4 linked regions of the Diceros bicornis minor genome follow. The protein of the gene in region 1 interacts with the protein of each later gene in a pairwise test. Links are inferred from orthologs where the notes say so. Each region holds a gene or a part of one and is shown in the gene's direction. Other genes may lie near its edges.

What was found.
Region 2: the proteins of CCHCR1 (region 1) and CCDC102B interact in binary tests that used the Homo sapiens proteins (3 or more experiments, as listed by UniProt). The link is inferred for Diceros bicornis minor from reciprocal best matches to the Homo sapiens genes CCHCR1 and CCDC102B.
Region 3: the proteins of CCHCR1 (region 1) and CARD9 interact in binary tests that used the Homo sapiens proteins (3 or more experiments, as listed by UniProt). The link is inferred for Diceros bicornis minor from reciprocal best matches to the Homo sapiens genes CCHCR1 and CARD9.
Region 4: the proteins of CCHCR1 (region 1) and NUTM1 interact in binary tests that used the Homo sapiens proteins (3 or more experiments, as listed by UniProt). The link is inferred for Diceros bicornis minor from reciprocal best matches to the Homo sapiens genes CCHCR1 and NUTM1.

Annotation. Positions count from the first base shown.
Region 1 is NC_080753.1:34,069,612-34,077,205, forward strand, and holds the start of CCHCR1 (coiled-coil alpha-helical rod protein 1), read left to right. Parts: upstream 1-4,529; 5' UTR 4,530-4,724; coding exon 4,725-4,874; exon of another isoform or gene 4,875-5,176; coding exon 5,177-5,243; intron 5,244-5,321; coding exon 5,322-5,535; intron 5,536-6,808; coding exon 6,809-7,106; intron 7,107-7,594. Other genes in the region: TCF19 (transcription factor 19), read right to left, coding at 347-587, 864-1,422, 2,526-2,763. UniProt on the Homo sapiens protein: May be a regulator of keratinocyte proliferation or differentiation.
Region 2 is NC_080755.1:58,670,606-58,678,692, forward strand, and holds the start of CCDC102B (coiled-coil domain-containing protein 102B), read left to right. Parts: upstream 1-5,043; 5' UTR 5,044-5,052; coding exon 5,053-5,658; intron 5,659-7,288; coding exon 7,289-7,509; intron 7,510-8,087. UniProt on the Homo sapiens protein: During interphase, forms fibers at the proximal ends of centrioles to maintain centrosome cohesion. During mitosis, dissociates from the centrosome following phosphorylation to allow centrosome separation. Contributes to CROCC/rootletin filament formation.
Region 3 is NC_080767.1:42,451,210-42,458,814, forward strand, and holds the start of CARD9 (caspase recruitment domain-containing protein 9), read left to right. Parts: upstream 1-4,613; coding exon 4,614-5,205; intron 5,206-5,309; exon of another isoform or gene 5,310-5,675; coding exon of another isoform or gene 5,676-5,805; intron 5,806-5,990; coding exon 5,991-6,295; intron 6,296-6,448; coding exon 6,449-6,628; intron 6,629-6,723; coding exon 6,724-6,867; intron 6,868-7,201; coding exon 7,202-7,327; intron 7,328-7,605. UniProt on the Homo sapiens protein: Adapter protein that plays a key role in innate immune response against fungi by forming signaling complexes downstream of C-type lectin receptors.
Region 4 is NC_080744.1:31,625,902-31,632,928, reverse strand, and holds the start of NUTM1 (NUT family member 1), read left to right. Parts: upstream 1-3,867; coding exon 3,868-3,871; intron 3,872-5,128; coding exon 5,129-5,224; intron 5,225-6,918; coding exon 6,919-7,027. Other genes in the region: NOP10 (H/ACA ribonucleoprotein complex subunit 3), read right to left, coding at 2,852-2,992, 3,282-3,335. UniProt on the Homo sapiens protein: Plays a role in the regulation of proliferation. Regulates TERT expression by modulating SP1 binding to TERT promoter binding sites.

The DNA of each region.
Region 1 (7,594 bases):
ACATCTTTCAAGGCATGGCCTCTGCAATTGGTTGCTCTGACCACAGACGTCCTAACGTCCATGACAAGGACCTACAGCTTGTAACAGTGGGAATTTCCAGCTCTCTGGCAACTCCCTGCAGGCAGCAATATCTTTGGTAGGAAACCATCTCTTCTGTCACCTTGGCCATGAGGGCCTGCTCCAGGCCTCCAATCGATATCCATAGCAATGGACCCTTCCCCTGTAGTCATTCCCTCCTGGGGAGGCAAGGGAAGAAGGGGCATTTCTTAGGACTCATTGGCACACCACTGTGTCCACCCGTGGCCTGGAGGTGCCAGCTCTGTCCTCTGGTGCCGTGATGGTGGCCTTAGGTCTGGATGCCTACACGACACCCTGGGCACCGGAAGTCGGCCTCCCTGGCAGCCTGGATGCTACAGCCAACACAGGCCACATGGAACCAGACGTCACAACCATCACACTGAACCCAGGCTACTGTCTCTTCTTGGGGCAGGCAGCAACAAGGGGCTGCACAGGGCTCCCCACCCCCAACTGCGGGGGGAGCAATGGGGGTGCTCACTGGGTGCTTCCGAGGACGCCCACGTCGATTTCTGAAGAAAGTGACACAAAAACCAGGGTCACTAGAAACTGTAGAAGCCTAGAACTGTCCCCTGGATAATCAAAGTGAACCTAGATAGACTCACTAGACTAATGGTGAACCTGGTTAGTAGAGCTAACCCAGGTCTTGCCATTCCAACATCTGTTCCACTCCTGTCCACCTCCCATCCCCCTCTCCCTCCCCTGAGCTGAAGGCCACCTCCCAGCCTGGGGCTCTAAAAATGAATCAAAAGGCAGTGAAATATTAAGACAAAGATCTCTCTACTTACCCACTAGGTGTAAGTGGGGTTTTCTCTACACGGAATTTCTTCCTGGGCTCTGTAAGGACTGGTGGAGGGCTCTCGGGACCCTCTCTCTCATCATCCAGTTCTGCCAACACTCGGTGAGCTGATTTCCTGCGATTCCTTGGGGGTGGGGCAGAAGGGGTGGTCCCCACTTCCCCAGGGGGAGTGGGAACAGGCAGGCTCTGTGGCCCACCCCCACTCCGGGAAAAGGTGAGGGGCTGGGGCTGGAGCTTGCTGAGGCTGCCGATGGAGTTGAGGATCAGCGTGGCTTTGGGGGCAGGGGAGAGGGTGCTGAGGGGGCGCTGTGGAGCCCCCTGGGAGGGCAGCATGGGCCGGAAACCAGCCCTGGTTCCCTCTTCTCCCCTAGACCGAGGGATGGTAATGGCAGCAAAATCTTGAGGTTTGACGCGGACTTGCTGAAACATGAAGTAGAACTCCGGGGGGCTGGTTCCTGGGGGCCCTTCAGGGCCAAAGGTCAGAAGGTCACCATCACTCAACTCTAGCCTATGACCCCTTGGGAGTCGGACATTATTGACCAAAGTCCCTGTTGATGGTGGGCAACCAGGCACAGAGAAGGACAAAACAGAAATGACCAGAGTCAGTCAGGAGGGGAGGAATCTGGCCCCATTTGATTTTCTGGGGAATATGAGGAAGAACTTGACACCTGTCATCAAATTCTCTCACATTCTAAGTACCTCAGCAGGTGATATCAGAGATTAAGCTCCTTGTGAGCTGGGAACAAGATTTACTTTTCTTATGCCCTCCCTCAGGGCACATAGAGGGAGCGGACTCCCCTCACTCTACTGAGGTCCAGTTCTCAGATATACTCACCCTCAAACAGCCCCAACTCAACAGTTACTATCAGCAAAGCTCAGCCTGTCTGGGTTCAAATCCTAGCTCCACCACTTACCAGCTATGTGACTCTGGACAAGTTAACCTCTTTGTGCCTCATTTCCCTCGCCTATAAAATGGGGATGATATTCATGCCCACCTACATTCAATGCACTTAAATCTGCCTGGTTCATAATAGTAAGCACTACATGAATGTTGGCTACCACTGTTATCCAACCCCTACCACACACCAAAATAGACCTCACAAAGACATTTTACCCAAGAGGAAACCCAGAGAGGAGAAGTAACAGGTCTGAGGGGGCCACCAGGTCTGATAGGTCTGCCACCAGCGGCCAGTGGCAGAACTCAGATGTGAAGTCAGGCCTTCTGAGGCTGGCTGTAACTATCTCCAAAGTCAAGGAGTAAGACATATGCCCAGATCATTAAAACATAATTCAACATATCATAACGGCCCTAAGACAGGAACGAGATGCCTCAGCAAATCTGGAAACTGAGTCAAGTCTTAGCTTGGATCCCAATGCCCCAGAACAACCCCACTGTGATACTTTCCTGATGATGCCCCAGGCCCTGGATCTACCTCCCAGTCCCTGTATGAGCTAAACGGGCCATCGAGGGTCAGCCCCGCAGAGTGTCTGACACTGCACATTTCTGGTAGGAAGACAGGTCTGGACTACAGCTGTCCATCAAACCTGATGGGGAGTTTGGGAGGCAGGAAGGGTCCTTGTGGAGTCCCTTAATCATTCCAGCCCAGAACTGCAACTGCCTAGGTGCAAGGCTGCCCTGCTCACTGCTCACCTTGGCTGCTATGGTCCTCCAGACTGACCCTCCAGTCATCGCCCCGGCATTCAGCGTGCAGCTCCGCGTGGACTCCAGAGATGAGGCCGGGCTCCTGCTGGGGCCGCAGGGCCACATCACACAGGTCGGCCCTGCGGCCCAAGCGATAGGTGCAGCCAGCTCCGCTTGGGGGGTGGAAGGTGTAGAGATCACCGCCCCTGCCGCCCCCTATGCGCAGCAGCTGGAAGCAGGGCAGCATGGGCGGTGCCCCCTCCGCACCACCTCTTCCACTTCAGGAATCCATCACCTTTCCCACTCCTGGGTGATGCATGGCCGGCCTAAGTTTACTTTCCGTCTGATACAAACTTGAGCTGTGCTTTGTGCAATTTCAACTTTGAGGACACTCCCTGAATGGTGCAAATTCAGAGGACAAGGAGCCTAGGCACACGATGGAAAATTGGCTGTCAAGCAGCTTTGCAACTGAAAAGTTCGGAGAAGGTCCCGGTGCAGTGCAAAAACCAACACGTCTTATGGCACCTTAGTTGAACCGGATCCTCAGGCCGCAAAATACTCGGGGAGCCTTCAATCTGTGCAAGGCAACATACATTAGGCAGCGTCTAGGGAAATACACTGTAGATGTATGTATGAGGGGGGGGTTCCTGCTCCTGTGCAATGTTAGCTTGTCACCTCAATGTAATTTGGAGAAAAGAAGCTTCTTCCTGTCAGACCTGCTTATCCAAATGGAGTAATCCTCCTGCTTGCCCGCGCCTTGCTCTTCTGGCCAATACCTCACTCATAACTAGTTAGCTTGAACCCCAGTGGGAAAGTGAATCCACTGTCATCCCCTAAAGGCAGTGCAAACGAGTCCTTACGTTCTCCAACAAAGCGGATCTAAACCTCCGCTTCTCCGGGTGGGATAAAAATAGAGCAAAGAGCTCCCGGAGATCATACAAGGCAAACCCAGTCTTTTCCCTCCCCGCCCCAGCCCAGTTTCGGATTACCGCGCGGTGCAGTGGCAGGGTCTCCCCTCCAGGCAGTGCCAGCCTCTCGGCGGCCCCGGGACCTCTCGGGCTCCGGCCGGCGCTGGCGCTCCCGCGGCTGTTTGACAGCAAGGAAGCCGGGGCCAGGAGGGGCGCGGCCTCCGCGCGCGGGCAGCGCCGACCCCGCCTTTGGAATTCCCGGGCCCGAACTTCGCGCCGAGCGAGCCCGCCCCCCGTGCCGTTCCTGATTGGCCGGCTCATTTGTGCTCCTCCTCTCCATTGGGCGGCGCGCTTGGAGGCTCTCCGATCTCCCGCCTTCCGCTTTTTCTGATTAGTTCACAAGTTTTCCCGGGTTCCCGGAGTTGGGAGGAGCCGCCGGGGCGCGGAGCTGCCCCAACGCCTTAGTTGGGCCCGGCTTCAGACACTACTGCGCCTGCGTGCACCTCTTCCCCTCCTCCTTCCGGGGTGAAACGGGCTTTAGAGCGGCCCGCCAACCTGCGCGCTTTGCGCAGGCGCGGTCAGGGGCGGAGGCCGCGCCCGGGAGCAAGGTGTAGGGGGTGTGGTCAAAGGGCAGAGGTGGGCTCTCGCGCTGGGTAAGGGGCATTCTGGAAGTGTCGGTTGGGGGCGGGAAGGGGCTGAGCTGGGGTGCGAGGGTGGGTTCAGGGGTCCATAGGGGAAGTGGGGTAAGGGGGCCGGGTAAAAGAACGGGTAAGGTGGTCGGAACAGCCTTAGAGCTCGGGGTCAAGCAGGGTGAAGACGCAAGGGTATTTGAGGGAGTGGGGGTCGGGTGGCAGAACTGAGAGCCGGCTAGAGTGCAGGGAGGCGAGAGCAGGCTATTGAGTTGAGAGATGAAGGTGCGAGTGAGGGAGCAGAGTAATTCCTTCAGGAAAAAAGCAGATTAGGATGTAGGGAGGGAGGGGAATAGAAATCCCAGATCGGCGGGGCGAAAATAGATGAATTCGGGTGGGAGGGTGGGGAGACCTTGAACACCCTCTCTATGCTCTAGGACTCTGGAGAGGGGAGGGTGGGTGACAGGAATGGAAGCTGAGAGGATAGTAGAGAGAAATTGAGAGGAAAGTTGTTGGAAGGGTTTGGATGAGATGTCAGGAAGCTGGCTTTTCTGCCAAGAGATCTAGGCTGCCTGGATTCCCAGAGGTCCTGGGGAGGCATCCTATTCTGCATGTAGCCACATTCATCTGGGCCTGGGGCCAGAGCTTTAATAGGGAAGGACCAAGGAGGCATGGCTTGGTGGTGTCTGGATGGGCTTCCCCAAGGCCTTGCTGAGCCATGGAGAGAACTCTGGAGATTGGGCTCACAACCCCTGCACTGCATACCTCCTTTCTCACCTCCGACCAGGAACGGCAGAGACTGTAGAAACTTAAGGAGGAGGGTAAAGTCACTCCCAGAATCCCCAAAGTATGAGTAAAGCCTCAGAGAGCTCCCTCTCAGCCTGTCTCAGTAAATTCCCTCCATCTCGTGGTAATTGCCATAGTTCTGTCAGGAACCAGGTTGGGTCAAGCAAGTGATCTTTGGGTATTTCCTACTTCTTTTGGGAAGTAGGAAAAGAGGAGCTAAGGGTTGGGTGGACCTGGCTTTTATTTAAGGATTATGACTTTGTTATTGTAGGGGCTTTCTCTTTGGAAGGTGGCCTGAAAGTTGAATTGGAGTGTCCTTGTTTCTCCTATTGTCCAGGGGAACATAGATGGCTGGACACTGAATCTAGAGGCTTCAAATAATGTGGAGATGTTTCGACCTTCAGGTCAGTGGGACCTGGCAAGGGGACTGGTGATTGTCTCTCCCTGGGAAGCTGACCATCTTTGTCCTTGTGATTCTTCAGGTTCCACTGGGCTGATTCCCCCATCCCACTTCCAAGCTCGGCCCCTTCCAACTGTGCCAAGAATGGCTCCCACTTGGGTCTCAGACATTCCCCTGCTCCAACCCCCAGCCCATCAAGATGTCTCAGAAAGGCGGCCAGACAACCAGAGACCTCAAGTGATCATGTGGGAACGAGGTGTTTCTGACAATGGGCAGGAGCCAGGGCAGAGAGGCAGGTAGGGATACACTGTCACTGTTTTCTTGGGCTTGCTTGCCAGTGACCCTTCTTCACTGAAATAGATTTGTTACCCTGTTTCAGCCCTTCCATAATTTGTTCATTTTTACATAAGCAACTATTGGTGTGCCTACAATGAATAAATAGTAATAAGGCAGTGTGTTAGCTGCTAGGGATGGGGATAACAAAAATGAATAAGAGAGATCTTTATCTCAAGGAATTTAAAATCCCAAGAGAGAGACTGACCAACAGCTGATTGTAATAAACATAGTATAAGGCAAGATGAAGAAGTGTGAAGGAGTGTAGCTTGTACTGTGGTATGTGGATTCATTCTGACAGAGTACATGCCATTGGAGGTAGCCATGCTATTTGTAGGTGTACTGTCTATAAAAATTCTTGATGTTTCATGTGTGTCTTTTCCCAAATGTCCTGGAATGTCATTCTGCCATTTTGCCCTAGAGTGGAATTGCAGATGGGTCTACCTTGGACCCCATCAAAGAGGAAGGAGCCCGATGATGAAAGGGGAACACTGGAGTGGGTGTCAGGAGACAGAGACTTTCTGTTGCTCATTTGGCTACCAGCTGGGGCTCCTTTGGCCAGTCACTTAATTTCTCTAGGCTCTGAAGTGACAGATCCCTGCCACTTCAAAAAAAAATTCCGTGGTTCTGGGCCTCAGTGAGTGAGCTGTGTCAAGAGCCTTGTTATACTGGTTTAAACTTTATGTGACACCAGTTGATTCTGTTCTCCAAAGGTCGGAACTTTGCAATTTATTGCTGTACTGTTCTCTCAGACTCCTCCTAACACTCAATAAATGCTTTTAACTAGCTCCTGGCCGCACCATGTTGATACTGGAAGCCTTGACTTCTCTTTCTCTGCACCTCCCTCAAACTTTTCCTTGCCCTTAAATCGGAATTCAGAAGCCTCTGTGTGTTCTTCCAACCTCTCCAATTCAGAATGTGTGGCCTGATGATGTGCACAGGCAGATGTTTAATATATCTGCCTGTATATAGGCTCTCTCTAGGGAGATCACGTTCTATGGTCTCAGCAAGCCTTTAGGTCCTGTGAGCCCAGACAGTGGACCTAATGTGCTTAGTAGGGCCTCGATGAATGACTATGGTGAGGGAAATGCAGAGATCCCCATGGCCCGGCTTCATCCCCCTCATCTCCCCACATGGGAACAGAAGGATCCTCTTCTCCTTCTGTCTCCATTTATGCCCTTGGCCACTCTCCCAGCACCAGAGACATGTCTCACCTGTGCTAATCTGTCTTTGAAGGTCCATAGAGGGGTCGCAGGCCCTGAGCCAGCAGGCTGAGCTGATCTCTCGGCAGCTGCAAGAGCTGCGGCGGCTTGAGGAGGAGGTCCGGGTCCTGCGGGAGACCTCGCTGCAGCAGAAGATGAGGCTAGAGGCCCAGGCCATGGAGCTGGAGGCTCTGGCACGGGCGGAGAAGGCCGGCCGAGCTGAGGCCGAGGGCCTGCGTGCTGCCTTGGCTGGGGCCGAGGTTGTCCGGAAGAACCTGGAAGAGGGGAACCAGCGGGAGCTGGAGGAGGTTCAGAGGCTGCACCAAGAACAGGTGAATGTGGGGGTGGAAAGGGTTTACCTTCAAAATGGTGAACTGGCAGTAGCTTCCCAGCAGAGAACAGGTATCACCCAGAAGGCCCCATGAGCAGTAGAGTAATGAGAAGATGTTTGGTGAAGGCGAAAAAACAGGTGACCTGGGAAGAGGGAGAACTTGGGTGTTTTGGGCTTACTCAGATTGCACTTTTTCCCAGGACTCGGGTGACCCGCACACCACTTGAAGCCCTCCTTCCCCTTCCAGTAGGAAGTAATCTGTCTTCCCACTTTGCTCCAGGTACCCAATTCACCTGGGAGCCTTGGTGGAGGGGTGAGAAAGTTGGGAGTGGGGTCCTAAGGAGGACTGGGAAGGGAATATTACTCAGTCAGCAACCTTTTTTTTTTGTGAGGAAGACCAGCCCTGAGCTAACATCCAACGTCAATCTTCCTCTTTTTGCTGAGAAAGATTGGCCCCGGGCTAAGATCCGTGCCCATCTTCCTCCACTT
Region 2 (8,087 bases), on another chromosome or scaffold:
ATTATTCTTGTTGCCTTCCTTTTGCAAGTATTTCCTGCTTCTGTATTGTTCCAAAATGTCACATTCACATCAACAAACATAGACTGTAACTATCCATATAATTTGTCACAGTGTGTGTATTTTTAAAATATAATATTTAACTGTAGGCAAAACTTGAACTATATCAAAGTGATGTCATGTGGCCACTCACTGTCATTTCTTCACTTACCTCCCTGTCACAACTGCAGTTTTCACTTTTAATATTTAGTATTCTCTTGCAAAACATTCCTAAAAAGACATTATTTTTTTCTACTTTAGACCCATACAAAATGCATAAGTTTTTATACTAATCATGTGTGCATGTTTGACAAGCCACATTTTAAAATACAGTATGATGGGTACTTTCCTGAATATTGAAAACTGATCTTTATTTTTTCTCTTTTTATCGGGGTATATGGCATCATATCTATAGCAACAACCGTTCCTTAACATCATGTTCTGAATCTGTATGAATCTATTTTCTCTTTGCTTATGGATTTTATTACATCATTATGGGTGCATTAGAGATCCTGTGCTTCTTAGGGAAAAAAGATCCAAGCAGGGTTTCATTTAGAATTCATTTCCTATAGGTTAATGGAAAGCAATAAGTATAAACAATAAAACAAAAATCCCTTTGGACCCTGTTTTAGTCTGCCCTGATAGTTTAACTTCTGCCAAAAATGCTTTTATTTTTGGTTCACCTCATTCTTCAGATAATACATATGATGTCACTTCAGAGAGACTTCTCTAAGTATGTAGGTATGTACACTATTTCTTTCAAAGACAGTTAACATTTGTGATTGTTAGTTTGATTTATTGCTTTTGTTATCAACAAGGTTCCAGGATGGCAGAAGCCATGTCTGTTTTGTTCACTATCACAGAGGAGGCCAAAGGCAGATTTTCTGCTCAGCTGTAGGCCTCTAAGGAATGGAGGACGGTCAAGCATAGGTCCCACTAGCTGCTACCTGAAGAATGGGAATCTAGGAGGAGGGGGGTGTATGGAGAGAGGGGAGAGTGCTCCTGCATAGCAATCAGATTGCACGAAGGAGACCACTGAGGTGAGGTTTGTGCAAGGAATGGACACACCTGGGTGGCGGAAGCATGGAACATGGAAGCAGAATGACGAAGAGGAGGCTGGAGGGGTGGACAAACCCCAGACTTTGCATACAGTTCCCTTAAGCTCTGATGAGGAGATTGAATTCACTCAAAGCTCAACGTCAGGATCAATCGACTAATTGTGGTGCGATTTAATGGGAGATATTTGAGCATAAAATTATTCGAAATGGAAGTCTGCCAAATATATTTCTGAAATAATCCAAAAGGTGATCTTACTACAGTGAAAATAGATATTTTGAAGCTAGAAATTTTGAAGTAGATTTTTGATACAAAGAGGCGGTGGCTCTGTATTCAAATTTCTTTAATTCCCAAACTGGGTTGACTCTTTCTAAGTGTATGACTTGGGCTGGTTACATTAGAGCCCTAAGCCCTAGTTTCTTCATCTCTAGGATAGAGACGATAATAGTACTGAATATATCACTGAATAATATTAATATGACGTAGAAATTGATATTATACCTTTATTTCATGAAATTTAGAACTTTTTTGTAAATCTCATTTATATGTCGCTCTCCCTGTTTTTTAAGTATACCATTTTTTCTTTGAAAGAGAGAAAGGAAACTCAAAAAAATAAATAGTACAATAGTCCAAAGTGACATATTAGTAACTTGTATACCGCTGAGAAAAACTGTCACCTTGCCTAAGAGACAGCCTGGGCCAGCCGATGAGCTGGCATTTTCCCATTTAATGGTCACAAGAACTCAGTGAGATACGTGATATTTTGGCCTCCTTTTACAAATAAGGATATGAGTCAAAGGCAGTTTATGTAATTTGTCCAAGGTCATCTATCTAGAAAGTGGCAGAGTCAGAACTTGAACCAATAGAGTCTGGAGCCCAATGTCTTACACATTAAGCTCCTCTTTAGCAAGAAATAACAGGTTTAGTAATGTTATCTATACACTGTAGACCCACCAAATTTTATTTATTTGGTGATGTACTACATTCAAAACTACTTGTAGTAATCATGGTAGCCTGATTGTATGAACTTTTTAAAACAGCTTTATTGAAGTGTAATTGATATAAAACACTGCACATATTTAATGTATACAGCTGATGAATTTAAATATATGCATGCACCCATGAAACCATCACCATAATCAAGGTAATAAACATATTCATCACCTCCAAGAGTTTTCTTGTAACCCCCCTTTTGTGGTAGGCACAATGCAAAAATCAATGTAAGAAACCAAAGAGTCAATAGCATTAAAATATTTTCCCATACATCAAAGGCTTTGTGCTACAGCCATTGACAAATACTTTCACAATCACCTGAAATAAAACATGAAGAGTACCCACATATGTGTAGGGAAAATGAATGCTTTAATACATACACACGAGGAGTAAATATGCTGATTTACACTTGTTTGAGAAACACTTTAGAACAGGAAATGCTATTGAAGTTCAAGGACTGAATGATTAAACCCAGCTCAATATTGTTTAGTCCAATGTGAAAAAATACATAGTTAATTGGTAGGCAAGATCTCAGTGTACCAGAATCCAATTATAGAGTCTTCAAAACACTAGTGAAATAAAAGTTAATGAGACATTTTTAAAGACATTACAATTTAATGATATTGATTTATTTTGAAAAATGGCAAGAATAGATTTAAGCTTAATATACTGAAATAAATTTTCTATCTTCAATTTGGAAATGCAACCAAAAGAAATACCATTAAGTAGTGAAAAATGAAGATATATATATATGAATATGTAGATAAAATTTTTGGTGTGCTTCTAATTAAGAGTTCCTTTTGTTCTTTTTTGTGTGTGTGTGACCGAGGAAGATCAGCCCTGAGCTGATCCGATTCCAACCCTCCTCTTTTTGCCAAGGAAGATTGGCCCTGGGCTAATATCCGTGCCCATCTTCCTCTGATTTATACGGGACGCTGCCACAGCATGGCTTGACAAGCGGTGCATCGGTCTGCGCCTGGGATCCGTGCCTGCGAACCCTGGGCCACCAAAGCAGAGTGTGCACACTTAACCGCTACGCCACCAGGCCGGTCCCGCTTTTGTTCTTTTTTAATGGTCTTGGTTTACTGATAGTCCAAGAAATTTGGTCAGTTATATTATCATTGCCCTCTGAATTACAGTAAATGAAGGGAATAATTACTCCAAATCAGCACTAATTCAAATATGACTGGACATATACCAACGCTAACCAAAATAATTACAACCATGAATCTGTATTATAATAATAAGTGTTGTAATAAGGAGTGAGTTGGTTTGGCACCTCTACAGAGCACTTATTAAAATGTGTTTTTTCTACAACTGAAAGTGATGTACATTTAGTATTGTGTAGTCATTTTTTTCAGTGACTAGAGACTTATTTTGTAAGTTATTGGTATAATGAAACCCCTTCAGTTGATTAAATGGATGGCTCATAAGGAGACAGTTTATGATCTGTAACTATATAAAAGCAAATGAAAAAAATGAGAGGAATTAATGTCAAGTATATAAAATGTTACCGAAGATCATTTATACCAGAATATCTTATTTGATAATAAAAATGGGTAATCTTATACAACCACGGAACTTTATTAATTTGTAGATTAACCTGCATGTTTTAAGCATTTATTTTAAAGAAAAGGTCTACTTGTTATATCCTTAATATAGCTATGTTGCTATAATGAATAAAGTAATGGATATACATACTGATAAGAAAGCTTTGCATTTACCAGTTAATTTATCTTTGCTATTTATATGGAAATTTTTAATTCCTTTATAAACAGTTGAAATTGCTAAGACAGTGTTCAGTGTTATCTAGGCTGTGAAGCCTTTTCATTTCTAGGAGACAGCTGATCACTTCTTTAGCTCCTTAGAGCACCTTGTACACAACCTAGGAAGCTAACACTGATTTGACAAGTAATGTGTACTAAGAAAAGATTGATTGCATACATAAATATAATTTTTACAGTGTGAATTAGGTATTTTTAAATTATATGTGTTTATGTCATACACTGGACTATAAAATCTTTAAGGACAAATACCATGTCTTATTCATAATATTCTATTTTTAGAACGTATCATAATATTAACCATAGTAGGAAATTAATTCATGTATCAATTAAATGTCATTTTGACTGCAAGTAACAGAAAACTCACCAATCAGAGCTTAAATAAATATAGGTCATCATTCTCGCACAGCAGGGAAGGCAGAGGCATGCCTTCTGGGTTTCATGCGGCAGCTCAATCCTTAAATCAAGCTCCTTTCATCTTTCTGTTCCACCATTTTAAATGTTACAGGGTGGCTGTTATACTTGCCTTCATCTTTGTTCAGGCAGGAAGAAGCAGAGGAAAAAGAGTTTTTCGTTCTGATGTTTTCATATTTTTCTAGATGAGAAATTTCTCTGGCAGACCTCCCCTCACATCTCAGCAGCCAGAACCAGCTCCTATGCTGCCTTGAGACTAGTGAATGATCAGTGAAATGGAGGTCATCTCGGAAGACTGAGATCAATCATGATTGAGCCCTGGGATTGGGATGGGGGCTTTTCCTCCCAGAGATGAATAGATTCTGCATTCCACCTGAACAAACTGTGCTTTAATTAGCAGGGGAAAAGGGACCATTGAGTAGCTAATGGGCAATATGTGTTACAATAAATATTACCTGAAAAACATTGGATTTCTTAAAATGAATTATTCATGTTGCATTCTATCCTCAATTGCATCTTTATAATTTTATTTTTATTTGGCAAAATTTAATATAAGCAATTTCTGTTTCTTTGAGGATAATTACAAATGTATAAATTCCTCTATATTTTTAGTTACAGTGGAAAGGAAAATATGCAATATTGAAAAGATGTATTGTTTTCATCAACTTTCTTTTTTAAATGTAGGTCTTGTTCTTGTCATTGCAAAGAAATTCAAACATTAATTATTTGATTTTTTTTTCTGTCTTTTCTTAGGCCTGAAAACATACATATGAATTTAGATTCTATTCATCGGCTAATTGAGGAAACTCAAATCTTCCAGATGCAGCAGTCATCAGTTAAACCAACTTGTGACGTGATAGCACCTGCCTCCTCCCACAGAGATACCTGTAACTCCTGTGTGCCACTTTATGGGCTACAATCCCATGCAGCTCACGACCTCTGTGCTCACTCACGCAACACCAACGAATGGGATATTTGTGAAGAACTTCGCCTGCGAGAACTTGAAGAAGTCAAGGCCAGAGCTGCTCAGATGGAGAAGACCATGCGGTGGTGGTCAGATTGCACTGCCAACTGGAGAGAGAAGTGGAGTAAAGTTCGCACAGAAAGGAACAGTGCCAGGGAGGAAGGAAGACAACTCAGAATAAAATTAGAGATGACAATGAAGGAATTGAGTGCACTGAAAAAGAAACAAAGTTTGCCACATCAAAAGGAGGTGTTAGAGGCTAGAGTTACCCAAGACCTGAAGCGTCCTAGTTTCATAGAAGTGTCCTGTGCACAAAGAGACCAATTTCAAATGGGTTCCAAAACGTGTGAGTCTATCAGAGAGTGTTTGTTAAGAAGAGAATTTCCTACAAAGGAGAACACAACTAGTAAGGTGAGGAAAAAACCCACAGTGGAATCCAGAGACTATGCGCATATTTGAATGCTTTATATAGTGACGAGGAGGAAGGGGAAAATGACACACCCAATGGCGACTGTATTTGTGTGCTTAGGATGCCATAACTAAGTACCACAGACTGTGTGGCTGCAGCAACAGAAATTTGTTTTTTTTCACAGTTCTGGAGGCTAGAAGTCTGCGATTAAGGTGTCAGTAGAGTTGGTTTCTTCTGAGGCCCCTCTCCGTGGCTTATAGATGGCCATCTTCTCTCTGTGTCTTCACATAGTCTTTGCTCTGTATGTACCTGTGTTGAAGATTCGTCTTCTTATAAAGATACCATCAGTAAGCCTACCCTACTCACCTTGTTTTAACTTAATTACCTCTTTAAAGACCCAATCCCCAAATGTAGTTACATTCTGAGGTACTGGAGGAGGGTTAGCACTTCAACAAATGAGCTTTTTGGGGGGACACAATTCAGCCCATATTGCTGATATCACTAAGATTTTTAGCAAAAATTAACCTAGCATTTTTTTTATGTGAAAAAATATTTGGAGATATTTCTCCCCATTTACCCTAATTCTACCAATAATAGTACATTATCCGTATAGTAGTAGAAACATTTCTAAAGGTTTGAGACTCTGGCCTCACAATTAATTCTTGTAAAATAGGTACCCTAGGCAAATACTTTTAGGGATTGCTTCACACTACCCAGTTTTGGAATTTCTTGGTATACTTGCAATCTTGAAGTTTCTGAGAATTCTGCACAAGATAAACTTTTAAAAACTTCATTTAATCTAGCAGTTCATAACACTTATTTATCCATGAACACCACCACCCCCAGTTTTATTTTTTAAACCTTGTAAATACTATTAACGGTTAACCCGTGGAACATACTTTGGGAAACTTTGGGGATTCATATTATCGCTTTATTTTTTTTTTTAGCAGTATTTATTTATTTATTTATTTATTTTGTGAGGAAGATCAACACTGAGCTAACATCCGATGCCAATCCTCCTCTTTTTGCCAAGGAAGATTGGCCCTGGGCTAACATCTGTGCCCATCTTCCTCTATGTTATATGGGACGCTGCCACAGCATGGCCTGACAAGTGGTGCGTTAGTCCACGCCAAGGATCTGAACCTGAAACCCCAGACTGCCGAAGTGGAGCACGCGAACTTAACCACTATGCCACCGCGGCAGCCCCCATATTATCTCTTTAAATAGTATCAGTTTATATTGTTACCCCTTTCTATTTAATTCCATCTCTAAAAGCAAAATCAGTTCATATCTTTCTCTTCTACAATTCCATTTAAAATTTTAAGCCTTTCCATGATGTGTGGGACTTGTGGTAGATATAACTTAGATTCCACTGTAAATGAAAAATTTTAAAAGACTTCAGAGAAATGTGTTTTATTATAATAAGATAGAATATAGAAAAAAAAAAGCTTGAAGAATGCAAGTTAAAGTTTGGCCTTGTAACACAATGAGAGAATGATCAAGACATGAAAATATGACTTTGATGCTGAATCATAACATTTATTTCTTTCCAAAAATATGTTTCTTCATGATTTTTCTACACTAGATTTAAATGTTCACCAATAAGATTTGTTTTCTATTTTTTCCTTTCAGGAAGAAGGTTTGATTATTGACCCATCAAGATTAAATGAGGAGATGAAACTGAATCTAGATTGTTCTGATTTATTCAAGAACGGTGGTTCTGAAAACTGTGCTGTGACACCTGGATTAAGACCGCAAGCAATGCATCTGCCTTTGGAGAATGAAGCACCTGAAATGGCAGCTTTGCAGGTGCATTTGGATGAGTTCCAAAAAATCTTATGGAAGGAAAGAGAGTGAGTGCTCATCATTGTCTCCCTCAACCAAGTCTGATTTTCAAACTTCTTAAAATTCTTGCCTCTAGTAAACTGGCCATTTGATAATGTATTTTGCCCATAATTAGTCATTAAGTACTAATATTTAAGAAATGAGTTTGACATATATTCATTTTTTTAATTTTGAAGAGTAATTTATAACGTGTTAGTTTTTATCATTCTTTTATTGTAACCTTGTTCTCATCATCTCTGGTAGATTCACCTTAGTTATATCTGAATTATTAATGTATATGGTTACAATAGCCAGTGTATTATCTAACGTTTACAGTATTAGTAAACTTCAGTGAGTCAATAAAAATGAATAAATATGTTAATATGATGAATAACTCACAATTTTTTCAGTTATTGATCGCAGAAAAAGATGCTTTATTCATTGACCATTTGTGGTATAGAGGAAAGAGCAGTAGAGTTGAGAGTAAATGACGTGGATTTTCACCTTGGTTCTGAGATAGTCTAGCTATACGATATTGGGTTAGCCAAGAGTGTGCTATTGTCTCCTTTGTAAAACTATAGATAGTGATGCCTATGTTCTGGTTATC
Region 3 (7,605 bases), on another chromosome or scaffold:
GACGTCACAGGGGCTCGCTGGTCCCCAAGTGCAAATCGAAATATCTGAAGAAATAAACAGCCTACTTTTTAGTCAAAAAGCAAGCTTGTGGTCTTGTCCTGGGACACTGGGCGGAGTGCAGAGGGATCGGGCCTTTCTGGGGGTATGGGGGAGGAGACAGAGAAGCAGAGGTTTGCCCTGTTTGCGGTAGCTGTGGCTCTGGCCTTTGGGCTGAGGGGCACGCTCCAGCAGAAGGCAGCCCAGTGCCCTCCCAGGCGGCTGCCGGCCCTCTTGGTGCCCCTGCAGGGACAAGGGTGGGCCTACTTCCTCTGCTGTGTAGACCACACAGGCCCACCCAGGCGGGTCCCTAGAGCCAGCACAGCCGGGTGCCCCATCGTAGCAGTGGCCCTGCTGGGCGGCTCCAGGCCAGCACCGCCTGCCTCTGCACGGCGTTCCTTTGGCTTGAGACCAAGTCCAGCACCCTCGGCGCTCCCACCTCAAGGACTAGGCCTCAAGTTTCCGTTACAGCCATCGAGGCACTCGGCTCCCGGGGCTTCGTTCTCCTTGCTTCCTGCTCCACTTGGTTTCACTTATTATGGAAAGTTCCCAACATACAGAAATAGAGCAAGTGTGCCCAGCACATGTCCTGGCCTGGCCTCAACAGCAGTCACCGGGGCCGCCCGTCCCCTCTCCCCACCCAGACGTCACAGGTCACGCCTGCCACGGGCTGACTCAGTCTCCTGTGTGCATGGTCTTGGTTTTTGCTTTGTGCCCAGTACTTGGTTAACTAATTTCTAGTTTTCCTTGTGACTTCATCTGACTGATGGGTTATTTTGTCAGTGCCGTGGAGTGGATTCCGGCTCCTAGACCCCGTGGACAGCAGAGGGAAGCCTGCCCTGTCTTTCTGCGCCATCTCCTCCCCTTCTGCCACGTCAGACAATGCTCCGCTGCTATGCACAGGCTTTCCGATGTTTCTACGTGGGTGGCCAGGTCCTTCTTCCTAGTCTATCTAGTCGGGAAGCTCTGCTGACACCCGTCCACTGTGGTGACCTTGCTGGTAACGGGTTACTGAGATGTTTGTTATTTAACGTCCAAATATCAAGGGATCTTCCAGATATCTTTCTGTTACTGATTTGATTTTTTTTTTTTTTTTTTTTTTTTTTTGTGAGGAGATCAGCCCTGTGCTAACATCCGCCAATCCTCCTCTTTTTTTGCTGAGGAAGACGGCCCTGGGCTAACATCTGTGCCTATCTTCCTCCACTTTATATGGGACGCCGCCACAGCATGGCTTACCAAGCAGTGCGTCGGTGCGCGCCCGGGATCCGAACCAGCGAACCCCGGGCCGCCGCAGCGGAGCGCGCGCACTTAACCGCTTGCGCCACCGGGCCGGCCCCTGATTTGATTTTTTTTTTTTATAATTTTTATTTATTTATTTTTATTTCCCCCAAAGCCCCAGTAGATAGTTGTACGTCATAGTTGCACATCCTTCTAGTTGCTGTATGTGGGACACGGCCTCAGCATGGCCGGAGAAGTGGTGCCTCGGTGCGCGCCCGGGATCCGAACCCCGGGCTGCCAGCAGCAGAGCGCGCGCACTTAACCGCTAAGCCACGGGGCTGGCCCTCTGTTACTGATTTCTAGCTTAATTCTGATGTAATCTGAGAACACACGTTTTTATTTAATTCTTAAACACACGCCATGAGGAAGACACCTTGATCGGCCTTGTTTACCGAGCGGGGAAGTGTTGGGTCGTCGAGGGCCCAGCAGTGGCCGATCCATCACGTGAGAGCAGAGCTGCAGCCCGGGCCCCTCCCTGCTCGCCTAGCCCGGGGCATGAGCCCCCAGAACGCGTTCCCCCAGGGTCCTCCGGACTGCTCCCTGCTAGAGGGTGACATTGGGCCTCTGTCTTCTCGGAGCCTGCAGGAAGGCCAGGCCGCCTCCACGACTTACCCTGCCTGGTTGTGCCAGGACTCCTGAGGTTTCGGCCGACCAGGTGACCGCTGTGGGCCAGGGGCAGAGGAAAGCCCAGGGACTGAGGACCGAGCCCGACAGGAAGGGAGCCGGTTAGGCGAGAGGCAGCTGCCTCGGAAGGCGGAGCCAGGGCACGGGCAGGCCCTGCCCGCCCGTCCAGCTGCAGCTCCTTCCCGGAGCTGTTGCCTCATCCAGCAGGGCAGGTGGCAACTCGGCTCAACTGCTACGGCTACACCGGCGAGGCAGGGGCTGGGAGAGGCCACGTAGTCCACGGAGGACTGCTGCCATGACCATGGGCCGGAGCCTTGTCCTGCAGTCAACTGCCATTCTGACACCGGCTTGTGGGACTGCAGGCAGTGGCCTCGGAGTCCCGGGAGCCTGCTGTCACTGTCCCACGTGTCCTAGTGGAGAGGGCTGCAGAGTGGGGATGCTCCCAGGAAGGGAGGAGGATGTGCTAGCTGCAGTGGGCTGGCGGCCAAGTGAGGCAAATGTGGCCGGGGCCTGTGGCCTCTTGCAGGTGGCAGGGGCCTCCCCAGCCCCATGCCCTTTTTGGACACCACACTGCAGTCCTTAGGCGTCTGGGCCAAAGCAGACTGGATGGTGGATCAGCCACACCCAGCCCCTGGGTGGGCCTTCGCCCGCACTTCCACTGTGCAGGGTGCCGGGGCTGGGCCCCCAGGGCAGGCCCGGGACCTTGGCCGCCAGGCAGGCTGGGAGGGCTCCCAGCAGCTTTCCTCTGAGAGCAGACGACTTCCACTTCCCTCTGCCCCGCCTCCTGGGCCGCCCTGGCTGGGCGAATCAGAAGGCAGCCACCAGGGACTGTCCCCCTGCGGGAGGACCGGCTGGGCCTCTGTGGAGTTGCCCAGAACCATCAGGAAGTGCACAGGCGTCCCGCTGGGCTCCACCCTCCCTCAGGCCCCTGGCCGCCAGCAGCACCTCCTGTTGCTCATTGATCGGGGTGGCCCAGGCTGACCAGCGTCCAGCTGTGTGGGTGCCCCCTCGAGGACCCTGAGGTAGGCTGGTCTGGGGCCCTTTCTGAAAGGTGATTGGGAAGGTGCCGTGGCTCTCTGCTCAGGGCTGCTGGGGCAGGGAGCCGGGTCCTGGAGCAAATAGCCCAGAAGGGTACCCAGTGGCCTCAACTCTTCTGCCCTGTCCCTCTTCACGGCCACTGAGACCTGCTTGTTCATCTCAGTGGAATTAACAGCGGGGCATCAGACGTGGGACCCGTGGCTTTTAGGCTAGAAAGGCGGGAATGGGCCGAAAGTTCCCAGGACCGTCCACCGGGTTGCTGGTATCTTTATTCCACACCTTGTCTGTTGCTGGGCTGGATGGGAAGGCCAAGCTCTGTGGGAAGTGGGAGGACCTCCTCCAGAGACCAGGCCTTCTGTCACCCACATCTCTAGGATGTGGTCTAGCTCCTGTGGGCTAGAAACCAGAGTTTCCAACACAGCTGAAGGCTCTGTCTGAGGTGGCCGAGTCAGGGTCTCCGTCCCCACCACCCAGAGGAGGCACGACCACCTGGCTTGGCCCAGCCCCGGAGAGAGTGATTTCTCGCCTGCTGGTGGAAGGCAGCAGCAGTGGCTGGTCCCAATGTAGGTGGTCCCCTCGTCAGAAGGCCAGCGTGCCAGTCCCCCAGAGTGTGACCAAGAGCAGGCCTCATCTGAGAGGTGGGAGAGGAGCCAGAGACGGCTGGGTCCCAGGACCTGAGAGCCCGGAGGAGGCGCCCAAGCAGCATTCCAGGCTGGCCGTGGGCGACACAGCCAGGCCTTCCCCTAGTGCCCAGGCCCTGGCCCTCCTGTGGGCGGTCAGTCACCCTTCCCGAAAGGCACAGTGTCGCTGAGCCTGACTCGGAGCAGGCCAGCTCCAGGCAGCTGCTGGGAGGCTGTTGCACCACCAGCCGGCCACGGAAAGAGAGGAGGGGCTGGGGCGGGGACCTGAGCAGACGCTAAGTTGGGAAATGAGGAAGCCCCAGACAGCATGGTCCAGCATTGCGCAGGTGGGAGGTCACTTGCCTCGTGCCTCTCGCCCCAGCCTGGGCACTGGCCGGCCAGGGAGGTCGTGCCAGCGGGTGGCAGCAGCACAAATGGCTCCTCCTGCCCCACAGGTGGGAGGTGGCCATCCCTGCCAGCCCCACGACACTTGGGGGTCTCCCGGGGCGGGCAGAGGCCAGAGGAGAGCCATGGTGCAGGGGATGTTCCTGCCCCTGGAGCATCTCCACACCTTCCCCCGTACTCACCAGGGTGACTCGGGAGAGAGAAAGCCCAGGGTGGCCCAGGGGGCGGGAGCAGGGCCCAGGTGAGGCCGAGGGCCACCCAGTGAGCAGATGGGCAGCAGGGTCCCTGCGCAGCTGCTGCTTCCCTCTCTAGGTCGCCGAGATGGGAGGGCAGGGCCTGAGGCAGCACACCTCTCTCCCGAACACCCCTGGGCTGAGTTCCTGGCTGGGCTCCTCGGTGGCGGGCCTGGGGCCTAGCTCAGCTGACAGCTCAGCGAGTGGTGTCCCTCCCAGCCGCCCTCCCCGACTCTGGCCGACCCTGCCATGTCGGACTATGAGAACGAGGAGGAGTGCTGGAGCGCCCTGGAGGGCTTCCGGGTGAAGCTCATCTCCGTCATCGACCCCTCGCGCATCACGCCCTACCTGAGGCAGTGCAAGGTCCTGAACCCCGACGATGAGGAGCAGGTGCTCAGCGACCCCAACCTGGTCATCCGCAAGCGCAAAGTGGGTCAGTGCTGCCCCGCCCCCGAGCTGGCTAGGAGCCTGCCCAGAGGCCGCTGTGGGCTTTGTCCCCTACCCTTGTCCCCAGGAGGCCGAGCCCCATGCAGCCCCACGGAGTGCACCCCAACCCCAACTGCAAGCACGTGGACGAAACCCCCGGCACCCCTGCACCCGTCCTGTTTGCCGGGGGCCGTGGTGCTTCCATGCACTGCTGAGGCCTCTGGGAGAGCCAAGGGGTGGCGGGTGGCACTTGGACCCCGGCCTGCAGCGGCTGTCCACGTCCCAGACCCATTTGGCTGCGGCCAGACCTGGCGGGGGCCGCACAGCCTTGTCCCCCGGCCCAGAGCACCCATGCACGTCCCGGGACGCTGAGGCCCGGGCGCCAGCCAGGCCTCTCTGGGTGGCAGGCGTGCTCCTGGACATCCTGCAGCGGACCGGCCACAAGGGCTACGTGGCCTTCCTCGAGAGCCTGGAGCTCTACTACCCCCAGCTCTACAAGAAGGTCACGGGCAAGGAGCCCACCCGTGTCTTCTCCATGATCATCGGTGAGGAACGGGACACCGGGCATGGGGGTGGGGGACGTGGGGGGCACAGGGCCAGGATGGAGGGGTGGGGTCGGCATGGGGCAGAGCCAGACATGTTGGGAGGGCAGTGGCATGGGGACAGGGCAGCAGGCACCTCCCCATCGGGTCTCCCGACCGGGTAAATTGGGATCAAGGAAAGTGAGTGAGCTGCTCGTGGGCAGGGTGCCGGCGTGGGAGCGGGGCTGGTCATCGCTCCCGTCCCGCTCTCCTCTCCGAACACTCGCGGAGGGAGCAGCGGCCCAAGAAAAGGGGGACCAGACCTCTCGGGGAGCAGCAGGTCGGAGGCGTGTGCAGGTGCACAGGCTGACTCACAGATCGGAGCCCCTCCTGCCCAGAAAACCATCCCACCTGCAAAGCCCCTGTCCCTGCCCTGGGCCACAGACACTGCCCCTGAGAGGGCGGGGCCTGCCACTCCCAGGAATGGCGAAGCAATGCTCTCCTGGCCCCGGACTCGCGTCCTCTTGCCTCTCAATCAAGATGATAAGATCAGACAAAGGGAGACAGGTGCCTGGCCCTGGCTGTCCCCTGTCCTGGACGGGCATCGGGACAGGGGCCGGGGAGGTGAGTGAGCATCTCAGTCCATTTCCTCGACGAGAAGCAGCAGCCACTTGGACTTGACCCCTTGGCCGGGCTCCGCATTCCCTGGAGCCACGCGTTGCTGCTCCTCCAGTGCAGGGCCCTGGGAGGCGGTGGGGCAGGGTGGCCGTGGGGGACAGGCGACAGTCTGACGCTGGCCCCGTCTACAGACGCGTCCGGGGAGTCGGGCCTGACGCAGCTGCTGATGAGCGAGGTGATGAAGCTGCAGAAGAAGGTGCAGGACCTGACGGCGCTGCTGAGCTCCAAGGACGACTTCATCAAGGAGCTGCGGGTGAAGGACAGCCTGCTGCGCAAGCACCAGGAGCGCGTGCAGCGTCTCAAGGAGGAGTGTGAGGCCGGCGGCCGGGAGCTCAAGCGCTGCAAGGAGGAGAACTACGACCTGGCCCTGCGCCTGGCCCGCCAGAGCGAGGAGAAGGGCGCCGCGCTCATGCGCAACCGCGACCTGCAGCTGGAGGTGCCCTCCGGTCCACGGGGCGCGGGGGTGGGCCCGTGGCGGTGTCCTGGGCGAGTCGCGTGGCCCCGAGCCTCCGTCCTGCAGAGAGGGCCTGGCAGGCGTCGAGGGCCAGGCAGTGGGTGAGGCCGCCGCGCTGACGGGGTTGTCCCGCAGATCGACCGGCTCCGGCACAGCCTCATGAAGGCGGAGGACGACTGCAAGGTGGAGCGCAAGCACACGCTGAAGCTCAGGCACGCCATGGAGCAGCGGCCCAGCCAGGAGCTGCTGTGGGAGCTGCAGCAGGAGAAGGCCCTGCTGCAGGCCCGGGTGCAGGAGCTGGAGGCCTCCGTCCAGGTGGGGCCTGCGGGGCGGGCGCCGGGGCAGGTGGGCCGTGGGCCTCCCCCAGCAAGGTCGCTGCCCTGCTGCCCTCTCCCCTTCGCCACCCGCAGGCTGGGAAGCCAGAGAAGAGCAGCCCCTACATCCAGGTGCTGGAGGAGGACTGGAGGCAGGCGCTGCAGGACCACCAGGAGCAGGCCAGCACCATCTTCTCCCTGCGCAAGGACCTGCGCCAGGCCGAGGCCCTGCGCACCCGGGTACGCAGCGGGGGCAGGTGGACACCGCGCCTGGGGCCAGGCTGGCTGCGTGGGCTGAGGGACTGCCCTGTGCCCACGCAGTGCCTGGAACCGGGGGGCTCTCAGCTCTCAGCTCAGTCCCTACTGCACCCCGTTCTGGAGGCGTAGGGCCGGCCTTCTCACCCACTCCTGCCCTCACTCCCCCAGGGCAGTCAGGGCCAGCCTTGGTCTGGAAGCTCAGGGCTGGCAGGGACCTAGGGGCTCAGGCAGCCTCCCCCTCGTCCCAGCCGGGCCTGACCGGGGGCCAGAACAGGGGCCACGGGCGGTGGGGCTAGCTAGCTGCCGTCTCCCGCAGTGCATGGAGGAGAAGGAGATGTTCGAGCTGCAGTGCCAGGCCCTGCGGAAGGACTCCAAGATGTACAAGGACCGCATCGAGGCCATCCTGCAGCAGATGGAGGAGGTCGCCATCGAGCGGGACCAGGTAGGCGCCTCGCCGCCCGCCCGCCGGCAAAGAACAGCCTGCACTGGGTGAGGGAGTAGGAGGGGCGGTCCCCACGTTTGTGTGGGCTGCCAACGAGCCCTTTAGGGGCCGTTGTCAAAGTGGTCTTTGAATGACAGAAGCAGTACGTGCTCATTTAGAAATGTGAGCAGTAATGAAGTTGATCCCCAACCCACCTCCACCCCAGCCCCCTGCCCGCAAAACCACACTCCACCTTCCGCTGGACCTTCCGGACTTTTCTCAATGTCCATCTATATTTT
Region 4 (7,027 bases), on another chromosome or scaffold:
GCAGCCCGCGAGGCGACGGAGAGGGCTGCGCGCATGCGCTCGCCCGGGTCGCGGCGGGACTGGTGGGCGAGGGGCGGGGCTGAACGCGGCAGGCCCGGAGCACGAACGGAATTGGGGGGGGGGGGGGGGGCCGGTTCCTGAGCTGCGTGCGCTGGAGAAAACTCATCCTTTTCCTTCTTGGTTCTGCTGTGTTGCAAACTCACTCTGGCGGCATCTCAGAAAGCAGGCGACACACTTTGCCCTCAGAATCCCAAAAACCATCTCTCTCTTTAATAAGAGTCTCTGAAAATACCATTCAAAATTTCTTTAAAAATCACAAACTTCCCAATGCCATATATCTAGGTATGACTCTCACTGGAATTTTTATGTTGAGGTGTATTCTAAAGCATTGTGTCCTCAAATTTATACACACTTTGTGCTACATTTCTTTTTCTTGTCCTTTAAAAAAATGCTGTCTTTCACAGTATATACATCTATCAAATCAAGTTGTACACCTTAAATATATACAATTTTGTCAACATAGCTGGAAAAAAATGTTATGTTCACTTTCTAGTCAGACTTTAAGTTCCATTAAAGAAAATGTTTTTCATATTAGACCTGGAAAAGATATTGAGATACTTTCTGTTGACTATTGCCATCAGAATATTTTTCTCAGCATGTGTATTTAATGCATGAGTAAAGGTGTTCAATACATTTTGAGTCATCAATGTTTTGTTAGGAGGTTATTTCCCATAGCTTTGGTCAAGGCATTTATTTTATTTTATTATTTTTCGTGTGTGTATGAGGAAGAGCAGCCCTGAGCTAACATCCATGTCAATCCTCCTCTTTTTGCTGAGGAAGACTGGCCCTGGGCTAACATCTGTGCCCATCTTCCTCCACTTGATATGGGACACCCCCACAGCATGGCTTGACAAGCGGTGCGTTGGTGAGCACCCAGGATCTGAACCTGGGCCACCAGCAGCTGAGCGCGCACACTTAACCAGTACACCACGGGGCCGGCCCTGGTCAAGACATTTAAATTTAACAATCTGGGTCCTAGCTTTGCCTAGGTCCTTGCCCATCCCAAGTGGAAATGTTTCAGCATCATCCTTAGCAATAGATCAAACAGTATTTAAGACCTGAGCCAGGATATTCCCTTTTATCAAATGACACACAAAGTCCAAAATCTGGTTAAAAAGATCCAGGTAACAAAATGAGAAATAAATTCCCATTTAAAATGTAAACCTCCTCAAAGCTTGATTCTTGACAGGTTTCCTACCTGAGAAAGCAAGAAATTCACCTCCCTGAGGGATCAGTTTTTTCCTCAGGCAGGCCTGCTATTCATTCAAATCTCACAGACTTTCCCTTTATAAAGAAACGCTGAATTTTTTACAATATCCAATTTTGTTTCATAACAGTGTATTTTCATTCATTTATATATACTACCTAATACCAATATATTATACCTCTTAACTGTTTCTGAGCACATCTCAGAGATGTTAATACCTAGGGGGTCTCTTAAAGAAAAAGTCCTCGGTATATTGAAACCAGTTTGCCTTTTCTCCTCTACTTTGATTAGGAATATTTCCAGGTCAAATCTTTTCATTTCAGTCTACACAGCAGGTAGCATGGAACAATGCTAATCCTTTTTCTTTTTTTTTTTGGCGGGGTGGTAACTTATAAAGACAGAATTACAGTCACCATTAAAAAAATTGGTAGCAGAATTCATTTACTGACTTTGGTGCTTAAGAAATCTTCCTTAGCAGATCCTTTTTCTAGTCATTTGCAGAATTTTTAACCTTTCTTCAAAGATTATCCCCTTAATAGGATAAAGTAACTCTTTAAAATCCCTCAGATCCAATACTAAGAACCATGTAAGTGAATAGACTAAGAAATAAGAAATTTTTAATTAACCCCCACACTACCTTGACAAACAACAAAATCTCTCATATTTCATCTTCTAAATTAAGATCCATGAAGAGTTCCAAATAGCAGCTAGCTGCCAGAGAGAATATAAAGTTAGGTGTATGTAAAAAGACAATTCCTTGATGGAGAGAACAAAAAACCTGGGATTATTTCCAGAGGGGAAGTGAATATGCATAAAGGCATTGCTATTCACAACGGCTGCACAAACACTGTAGATATATTAAGATCCACCACTGAACCCTATCAATTTTAGAGTTGGAAGAGAACTTAGAAATGATGAGAAAAATGAGACTGAACAGGTTAAGTGACTTTCTCAAAGTTATACAAAGAGGGGAGAATCCTGGTCTCCTGACTTCCAATTCACTGCCTTCCCTCTACAAAATAGCTATTATTTTTCAAGCAACTCTTCCATTTTGAGTCAATGTCATTTCAAGGGGCAAGAAATTATTTAAGTGACAACAGGGGTATTTTTCAGAGAATGCTGACAGTTGTGGACGCGTCTTTCTCAACCTTTCTTCCCCTTCCTCAACACCCTCCTATCACTAACAGCACAGCAGGACTCCTGCTGCAGCAGCGACTCAAGTTTTTCTTCCAAGTGAACTTGCTGTACCTTTGGGAGTACTCTTCCCTCTCAGCTCCTTCGTTTTTGTCTTTGTTTTTAAACCACTTCTTTCTTCCCACAACATACAAAACAAGAGCTCCTTCAAATCATTTTAATAACTTGGCAGTGACTGAAAACATGAAAAGAAGATTCAAACTTGTTCCCTTTAAGGGAGATGCTACCATGATTGCCTCACACAAGCATGATCAAAAGCAATGATGAGACCGGATTCCACAGAGCAAGGGTGGTCAGAAGGCCTCAAGGCTCACAGATTGAAGAGCGTGGTTTCGGAAAGTCTCTTGAGGGGTAGCAGGCGGCAGAAGACACACGAAATTTAAGGGACTCTCAGAGGACAGGGCGCGGTTGCTGGGTCATGAGCACCTTGAAGCGTTTCTTGATGGTGATTCGGTGTCGAGAGTATTTGTCGTCTGGGGAGAACCGAGCAGGATGGGCCGAGCAGGTCTGTTGTCCCACAGGGTCAAGCTTCTGCTCAAGAAACAGAGAACATCAGTACAGGAGTGATGGGAAAACTCAAGCACCGGCGTCTAAAGGGAGATGGAGGCTGGGATGGGGAGGGGGCCGCGCAAAAAAAGGTAAACAGGACAGAAGACGTGACGGACAGACGAAGGGGTCATACACTCCCGCTTCTACCACGCCTGGCTTCTGGGTTTTCTAGTTCGCCTCACCCAGGGAGGCAACTCGGTGCCTGGTCTCAACCGCTGCTCCCACCTACATTTCTCGCCATACCCATTCACAACCTGTTTCCTCTACTCACCTTAAGCGTATAGACCCGGTCTCCCTGCTCGTTGAGATAATACTGGAGGAACATGATCAGACTACAGCCAGAACTTCCAACTCCGTGCGCAGCTCCGTCCAACAGACCGCCTCACGTGTTTGTCAATTTCCTTCCTGCATAGCCGGAAGTCTCTTTCTAGGCATGCCGGGAAATGTAGTCCACTTAGGCCTTTCTCCAGCTGGCCAAAAGGGGGAGCCCTAGTGCAAGAGTTGGCCCAGTTGCAACCCAGTTGCAACTTTGCTGGCGTTGGCGCCCAGTTGCAACCTTGCAGGCGTTCAGAGACGCGTGGAGTGTGCCCCCTGTGTGCCCGACACTGCTAGGCTGCTAGGCGTTAGAGGGGGGTAAGGATGGATATGAGTTGAACATTGATGAATAGAATCCTGTCTTTATTTCAAGATGCACACCCATTTCAGGGGCAGTGTGTTTCTAGTGTCTGGAGAAACAATAGCTCCAGGATCCAGAGCCCCTTTACCTTAGGGAAGAAAGAAGAAGGTTTTCTTCCCTCCTCTCTTTTACATCCGATCCCCGCGCCCTATTTCAAAGTATTGGCGGTAAAGAGTGCATGATGGGTATTCAATATTCTGTACAGCGAGGAGAGCGTGAAGTTATTTTATGAAACTGGTGAAGTATGTTTTAGAGGTCGAACCAAGATTCAAACTCAGGTCTCTTTACCACAAATTCAGCGCTCTTATGGTGGTGAGTAGCTAATAATAGCATAATAAGATGTACCTCCGAAGGGTATTTCCAATTTTTAAAAGAACGTAGAAATTCTCCTTATAGGACTCTAGTTTGAAAAACGAAAATTGGAGCCCAGATATCATTACAAAGATGATCGTTGCAGTATTATGTATAATAGCAAAAACATTGGAGCATGTATTAATTTTATAACCAGAAAAACTGAAAGACTTTATTTTTTTTAAAGAATATAGTTTGTATTCACTTGTAGTTGCATAAAATATCTCTGCAAGGATTCACAAGAAACATAATATTGGTTTCCTCTGGGATAAAGAACTCCGTCCCAGAGGAAAGGAGTGGGAGGGAGACTTGCTGTATATTCCATTTTGCATAGTTTGACTTTTGAACCATGCTGATGTATTACCCATTTAAAAAATTAAAATTATTTAACAAAATTTTAAAACAAAATAATTTAACAAACAAAAGGAAGGACTTTTTGGTCTTGAAATTTTAGGCTGAATGGCAGTTTTTGATAGAGTGGGGCTTTTCAGCCAGGGGTAAGGCTGAGCCTTCTGTGGACTGCAGAGCTGATGGAAGTGGACTGTTGGGGCACTGCAGGACAGCTTTCCAAGGAAATGATATGCATACAGCAATTGAACACCCTGGGTCTTATGAGACAACCCTAATTTCAGACATTCTATTCCCTTGATCCTTAAGTACACCAGACTATGTGCTCTGAATTTGGTTCAGAAAATATAGCCAACATTGAATTAAGTCAAGGGTCTGCCACAACCTGCTATTAATGGGAAATCAGGTACAGAACTGGATGGGATTGAAGGGCACAGAACTAGATATATTGGTGAAGAGTTGTATAGGGTACTGAGATGTAAAACTATAATGTTGGGAATCTGAGAACGAATATACAAATATCCCTAAAGAGGTACACAACAATTGTGTTGCCATACTCTGGTTTGGAGGGAATTCCTTGTTACTGCTTACTAGAACCCTTTGTGGAGTATCTCCCTCCCCCCACCCCATATTCTGCTGTCCCCTCCCCCACTGCAGAATGCCTTGAGTCCTAGATTCTAGTTCTGTTTTAATCTGATCTTTACCCTCCCTTCCTTGGATCCCTGTGCCTCTACTGGAGCCAGATTACTCTCTGGGTCCTGAACCTGACTGTCTCATTCTGGAGGCTTCCAGACAGCCACGGTTAGCGCCCAAACCTGAGAGGATGGCTTCAGATGGAAGTAAGTCTGCAGGTGGGCGGGAGGGTCCCTGCCACCTGCTCACATCCTTCAGGATTAAAATTTGATGCTTTACTTGGGGACAGGCTCTTTGGGCTGATCTAGAGGGATGCGAGATCACTAGAGACCTCACCAAAGGCCTCTCACTGGGGGAGGCTGGGGAAGGAGGTTGTGCCATTAAGACTGGGGGTTGGGGAAGGAAGAAGGCCTCCTGGGAGACAGATCAAAGCACCTCAGAGGAAAGTGCTGATGATAGAGAAGGAATGGCAGTTAACAACTTGCTTCTCTGGAAGAGGGACCCTTTTAACATATGCTTGTGTGGCAGGGGCAGGAGTATGTGTGGGGCCCAGAGAAGGTTCAAGGGGAAGCCTCGAGTTCCTGTGTCTTCTTTAGGCAACCGGAGGGTGCTCTAGAATTTTGCCCTGAGAGAATTGAGCTGGGGCCATTCTGGATCTTACTGAGGGGGTGGGGGGTGGAGGCCTTAGCTGGAAAACTGTTCAGTGGGGTTATCTGTTGCCAAGTCTGTAGAGAAATGTCCTCCCGAAAGCTAGACTGGAAGGTACTATAAGCGCCTCTGCTCAGAGCCTCATGGCTCCTTCCAGCCCCAGAGATGGCTTCTCTCTCAGTTCAGGGAGCAGTTTTCCTTGATTCCTCCGCCAGGGCCAGGGGAGGTGGGTCACTCCAGCCAGTACAAGAGCTGGGGCTTCCCTGAGATGCTCTCAGCTTTTCTACCTTTTGTGGAGCTCAGGCATTCAAACCCATTTCTTTGTGTTCCGTACTTGGTGGAGTACTCCTGGCCCTCTGCTCTGTGGTTGAGATGACGAGTTTGCTCATATTCCGTGTCTCCTTCATGGTCTGGAAACGGAAACTGAGTGTTGTTAGTTTGCCAGTGGGATATTCTTTATAAGAGGGGAGGAGAGTAGCATGAAATTAGACAGATGATCTTCTATTGTTATTGTTAAAAGTCCTAGGAGACACATGTCCTGATTAATTAAGTACACGTTTTGTGTATTTATCTTTCGTCTCTTTGACTGGAGTCCGCTTAGCTCCTCCTCAGCAAGTACTGTGTTTTGGACTTCCTTATCAGTGCCTTGTTCATAGTGGGCCCTAAATTTCTGATGTTAGGAACTTCAAGCAGAAGGATCACAGATAGTCTGCATTGCCAAATTTTAACATGTCCAGCAGCTACTTGAAGCTCTGGAAACCTCCCTCCCCACACCACCCTGCCCTTGCTCATTTCCTGACCCTTATCTCCAGTCATTCCTGGCTGTTATATAACAGAAGTGCTGGGAACCAAACATCTAATCCACACATCCTCTTCTGGGAACAACACTTCTGTGAGTGGTGGCAGGGACCACAGAGCAGCTGGGAGTAGGGTTCAGGTGGTTTGAATGTGTTGGGAATGGATGGGAATAAAGGTGTACCTGTATGCTGGGTGCAATGAGTTATGGGGCATGAGCTCATAGGTCCAAGAATTATTGCAGCTTCTCTAGTGCAATAATTCTTAACTGGGAGTAAGGGACATCAAGATCACTTGGGGGACATTGCAAACTATACAAGTTCTCTCTCCATATCTCCTCCCTCACCTGTTGAGAATCGGAACTCTGATTCTTCAGGGACTAAAGTGGAACTCTGATGATCTGACTTCTGGTCTCCTTTTCTCCTACTCCATGCCCTCTTTTTCTTTGTCTCACCAGCATCTCCGTTGCCGGGACCGGATGTGACCATGAAACCTGGCGCCACCCGGTCTCCTTTCACTGCACTTCCCTTTCCCCCACCAGCTGCTGGCCCACCAGACCAACCACC